Linked DNA regions of Kluyveromyces lactis. The protein of the gene in region 1 binds, or shares a complex with, the protein of each later gene. Links are inferred from orthologs where the notes say so. Each region holds a gene or a part of one and is shown on either strand. Other genes may lie near its edges.

Region 1 (2,692 bases):
ATAGACAGACATGTTGCGCTCTGCTGAACTTATCCAGCGTCTCAGTTCTCGCCGTTTGCTTTTGTCTACCATGCAAGTGCATCAAAGATATACCAGGTTGTAATTTCCTGAAAGTTTCATAAACAAAATGCACCTGTTTAGAGCTTGATAGAAACACAATTAACTTAGACTTTAAATGCGATTTTATGAAACTGAACAGAATGTCAAGTTTGTCAGGTAGTGGCACTTCGATATATGACTGCTGTAAAGATTCTGGAGTCGCAGATGAACTATTAGCATTTAAAACTTCCATCGTTCCTACCTGTTTGTAATCTGTCAAAGATAATCTAGCCAAGTCATCCAAACTTTGTGATTGAGTAGCTGAAAACAAAAGTGTTTGTCTTGAAGCAGGCAAATTATTAATAATGGCATCAAGGGTTCTCTTGAAACCCATATCTAGACATCTGTCGGCTTCATCGAGTACTAACAACTGTAAATTTGAAGTATTGAATCCAACGGCTTGATCCATATGCTGTAAGATTCTGCCTGGTGTTCCTATTAGAATGTTAATTCTCGAAATTCTCTCTTTCTCAAAAGTAACATCTTTACCACCAATAACCAAACCGGCGGAGAAGGTAGTGTGCTTACCAATTTTACTTAACACTTCATATATTTGCATGGCCAATTCTCTTGTTGGGGAGATGATCAATGCACCTAGCCCATCCATGTCTGTCCACTTCTCTCTGTATAACTTTTCGATAACAGGGATCAAAAATGCTAGAGTCTTACCAGAACCTGTCTTGGCAGCGCCTAATACATCGTGGCCTTTCAAGGAGAGAGGTATGGACTCGCGCTGAATCTCGGTTAATTTGATAAATGCTGCTTCTTTCAACCCTTTTAGAGTTTGTTCACTAATGGGTAAATCTTGAAACAAATTAGCCTTAGCAATTTTCGGGTTATATTCTTCAACCTTAGTTTCAAGATCTTTGATCTTCTGGCTGTCTCTTTCACGAATCAGCTTACGCTGCTGGGTATTATGCTTTTGTTTCTTGGCCATCTTTAAATGCTCTTTGCAAACCAATTATAAGTTATATTGGCACAGTTGATTAAACGTTTAGTTAAATGATTAAATGCACCAGTTTGCTACTTTAATCAACTTCTCTATAGGTCGATTAATGATACCGCTCAAAGACAAAGTAAACTACTTTTCCTTGAGGTTGAGGTTCGAACCTCTATCTAGATGAGATGAGATGAGATGAGCTCTTCTATTTACCAAAAATTTTCTTTTCTATTTCTTTTTTCCTACAACATGAAAAGCGATGAAATGACAGATGAACCTTATATTGTGAATTGCACAATATATGGAATAAATATGTAAGATATATGGAATATACCGTCATCTATGGAAGCAACGGCGCCAAAAGAATGAGCATCAAACGTGAAGGTAGCAGATATCGATACGATCACGAAACGAAAAGAAGCCGCTATGAAGGTGCCCAAAAAAAAGTAATCTTGCCTATATTTGAGCCATCAGGATTATTGGAACTGGAAAGCCACCAGAAAAAAGGCATACAACTTAAGCATGTAGAGCCCAAAGATGCGATATCACCCCACGATTTCTATAAAAAGCTAAAAGTACCTAAGTGGGATCAAATTCGTTATGAGCTTGTTGTGTATAGGAAGGGCGTCAAGGGTGAAGTAAGTAAAACTAAGTTGCATGATAAAAGTTGCTATATTATCGGTAGAGGATTAGGTCAGAGTCTACGACGCTTCGAATCTGATGGAGAGGAAATTATTCTTGCTGATATCCCAATCCAAGAGGAAAGCTGTTCGAAAGAACATTGTGCCGTACAATTCCGACAAGTCGGTGAATCTTTAATTCCATACTTGATTGATCTTGATTCTTCCAACGGTACGTGTTTGAATGATTCAGCCGTTCCTAGCGCCCGGTATATCGAGTTAAAGAGCTCTGATATTATACACGTATCTGAAGATCCAAATGATTCAGATTATGAGCTCATTTTCCTAGCCGTATGATCTATTCTTTTGTATTTTTCATGTACAAGTCCTTCTTGAGAATCGATTTCTTGAAACCTTATATTATTTGTATTTTATAAAATCGGAAATGTAATTTCTATACATTACAAAACTATGTGAGAAAAAGATAAATCAATATCGATGTATGCTAGAGAATGGAAGAGGTAGTTGGACTCGTTTTAAATATGTTAAACAAGAACTTTTTCTTTTTTTTTTTTTTGCTGCTTTATTCTTCTCGTTGCGTACAAGTCAATGGAACTTTCCGCAGTTGTGTTGTTCCAGACATACGGGTCAGCATCAGAGCTTGTCAAATATAGAAATGACATGCGCAAGACAATACAGATTTGGAAATTGAAAGATTGCAAAGTAAACTAAAGTTTTGCTTTCGGATGTGACTTCATTCGCAGGACGGAAGAAAACAAGCATTGTTGAATTCGTTATTTTTTTTCTTTCAGTTGAGTTTATAGTCTCCCATTGTTTTCGGAGTATTGAAGGTGATTATAATTCGTCATCAAAATAGTCGTCGTCATCTTCATCTTCGAATCCCTCTCCTGAAGTAGAGCCTTGAGATGCAGAAGCCTTAGCCAAAATTGGTTCCACGGATTCCTTGAATGAAGCCATCTTTTCTTCGAAATCTTCAGCTTCAGCGACATCAGAGTTGTCTTCCAACCATTCT
Region 2 (2,608 bases), about 350 kb from region 1:
CAGAACAAGAGGATGCCCAAGTGTTTGAAGAGCTCGTGGCGGAAGCAAGCAAGAAAAAGGGTCATAAGCATCACACTAGCAGCACTGCCAATAAACAGTGAATACAAAATATTCTCAAACCGAGTGCTTCCTACCTAATAATAGCATAAACACTTGCCAATTCTTGTTTTTTCATTCTTTATTTCTGCATCATGTTCATATATACATACATAGCTTGCTACTTAATTGACAATAATATTAATTTAACATAGCGATAAACTTTCGACTACGCAACCGAATATTGCAACTCCTGACGATCAACGGGGGAGGGCTGTAAATTACAAATATTGTTTAAGAATTGCTCTACGTTCTGATTGAGACTGAGCAGCAGGTTTTCCCTCCTTTATGTCTTGAGAAACAAGGTCATCGGCTTCGATAGACTTTTCTATATATGTGATCAACTTATCTAAGTCGACGGCGGCAGTTGGAATACGAACCATTCCATGATCATCACATACCAAATAATCGCCGGGATTAATTGTCTCCGTAGTGCCATCGCTAATCTTAATCTTCAACTCACAGTTATACGAAATCGGTTTCAAAACTGCTTTTGGAGCACAGGTACCGATACCGTAACTGAAAACGCTGTGATCCAATGCCTTATGCTCTTCGATATCTCTGATTCTACCAAATACAACCGTACCATGGCTGCCTAAATATTTTGCTCTTGTAGACATTAATCCACCGTACATGCCCTGAATAGGTTTGGTATATGGAGCACTGCTCAATTGTAAATCTTCAGTCATACCGATGGTTACGATAGATTCTGCTGGCACATTATCGATGTAATTGACACTGGGTTTATCTTGGGTAGCATTTTTATGCCCGAACAACACAGGAAAAGCCCTACCCACGATAGTCCCAGACCCTGACCTTCTCACCAAATTAGGGAAATATCCACCATTAGTGATTCCATACAAATTCAATAGCCCATCTGAGATGTCACAAGTAGTGAAATGTCTCAACCTTGCAAGATACTCTGACATTCTGCGTGTGGGAATTATAATTCAGCAGCGATCCCGGTAGTGCATAAACTCTGGATTTAACTTCTTTCGAGCGATGGAAAAGTGTTGATAATTTAAAGGTGTTAAAGATTTGAATAAGTTTCTTGAAAGTTCGTTTATATAAGAACAAGAAGACAATTGAAGGTGTTACGCACGAATGGAGGAACCGGAGAAGAATTTGACGGTTACCGAAAAGGAGCTGCAATTTTCTGATAGAAAGGATAAGGAATAACCAATAGAGCTGGTACTTTGCGGTCATTGGGAGGCTGGTTCAACTGTGAATATTTGGAAGTGAAGATCCAATACGATTATCAATTATGAATCAGATAAGGTCGATACAGAAACTTAGTGAAAGGGAGTTGGAATGTGGGATTCTAAAGCCAGAAAGCTCATGGCATCATGAGTATAAAGATCAGGCCTACATAAACTTTGGAGGGATGCACCTCGAATTGACAGAAGCTGATATTCTCACCATATTCTCCCAGTACGGCTGTCCTGTGGACATCAAACTTGTACGCGACCAGACAACTGGAAAATCTAAAGGGTTCGGGTTTCTCAAGTATGAAGATCAAAGATCGACTATACTTGCGGTGGATAACCTAAATGGAGCCAAGGTTTGTGGAAGACTGATACGAGTAGATCATGCTTTTTATAGGCCAAGATCCGATGAAGCTGAGTACGAGGAAGCTGTAAGACAAGAGTTGGAGAAGGATTTCGCAAAAACAGGAGACGTACCGAGTGAACCCATGAAGCAAGAATCGGTGGCTGACCCGTTGGATGAGTTTGCTGATCCAATGGCTGCGTTTCTGAAGAAATGAAATTCACATTCCTAAAGGAACAAGTACGGAGCAGTTCTTTTATGACAACGTAGACTTTTAGTTTCAAATGATATTTATGTACATATCCTGTAACTACTTTTCAATAATTTAGATACATGAATTTACGGACGCGAGAGCATATAACTTATGGCATCGGTGGTGGTGGAGGGATGACCGGCACTGGAGGAGCGGGAGGAGCGGGAGGGATTGCGCCAGTAGGTGCGACAGATACATCTTCAGCACCTGGTGTATGGAACTTATCTTCCTCATCAGAGGCCACCGACTCTGGGATAGATAGTACGTCGGATGCATCATCCGGCTTTGGTTCTTCGTTCTCTGCTAAAGTTGCAGTTCCTCCTACTTTTAGTAAAGGAGCTGCCACAGGAACAGCAGGTGCTACGTCACTGTTTATTTGAGGCAATGGTGGGGCGATAGGTACTGGTGGGGCACCAGACCCTTCAGTAATCGACGTAGGCAATGGAGGTGGAGGTGGGATCAGGGATGATTCGCTTTTAACTAAAGGCAAAGGTGGTGCAATAGGAACAGCGACAGACGATTGTTCTTGAGTGGTTGCAGAAATCTGTGGGAGAGATGGTGCCACAGGAACGGACGCGGTAGATGTAGCAGGAACAGCGGTACTACTGACATCAACAGCTTTGTTGGCTGTAGTATTTACCTTCTCTGTTTCGTCATCATCTGACCATCCGTCACTGTCATCCAAGCCTCGTTGAACCCTTCTCTGCTGTT

What was found. Proteins that work in one complex are often made in the same cells at the same time.
Region 2: the proteins of PML1 (region 1) and IST3 are in contact, whole or in part, in an NMR structure (PDB 2MY3), measured with the Saccharomyces cerevisiae proteins. The link is inferred for Kluyveromyces lactis from reciprocal best matches to the Saccharomyces cerevisiae genes PML1 and IST3. Residues at the interface, in NP_013116.1 of Saccharomyces cerevisiae: Ser23, Tyr25, Ile26, Asp27, Ile28, Met29, Pro30, Asp31, Phe32, Ser33, Pro34, Ser35, Gly36, Leu37, Leu38, Glu41; in NP_012270.1 of Saccharomyces cerevisiae: Asn39, Glu41, Leu42, Thr43, Glu44, Gly45, Asp46, Leu48, Val50, Val60, Arg64, Asp65, Glu66, Asn67, Lys96, Ile97, Gly98, Gly99, Lys117, Tyr118, Ala121, Val122, Glu125.

Annotation. Positions count from the first base shown.
Region 1 is NC_006040.1:803,060-805,751, forward strand, and holds PML1 (Pml1p), read left to right. Parts: upstream 1-1,362; coding exon 1,363-2,016; downstream 2,017-2,692. Other genes in the region: RNA-dependent ATPase HCA4, read right to left, coding at 1-1,036. UniProt on the Saccharomyces cerevisiae protein: Required for efficient splicing and pre-mRNA nuclear retention.
Region 2 is NC_006040.1:1,156,744-1,159,351, reverse strand, and holds IST3 (U2 snRNP complex subunit IST3), read left to right. Parts: upstream 1-1,360; coding exon 1,361-1,861; downstream 1,862-2,608. Other genes in the region: DJP1 (Djp1p), read left to right, coding at 1-101; KLLA0_D13442g (bifunctional 4-hydroxy-4-methyl-2-oxoglutarate aldolase/oxaloacetate decarboxylase), read right to left, coding at 318-1,025; actin cytoskeleton-regulatory complex protein PAN1, read right to left, coding at 2,007-2,608. UniProt on the Saccharomyces cerevisiae protein: Required for pre-mRNA splicing and spliceosome assembly. As part of the pre-mRNA retention and splicing (RES) complex, required for nuclear pre-mRNA retention and efficient splicing. Required for MER1-activated splicing.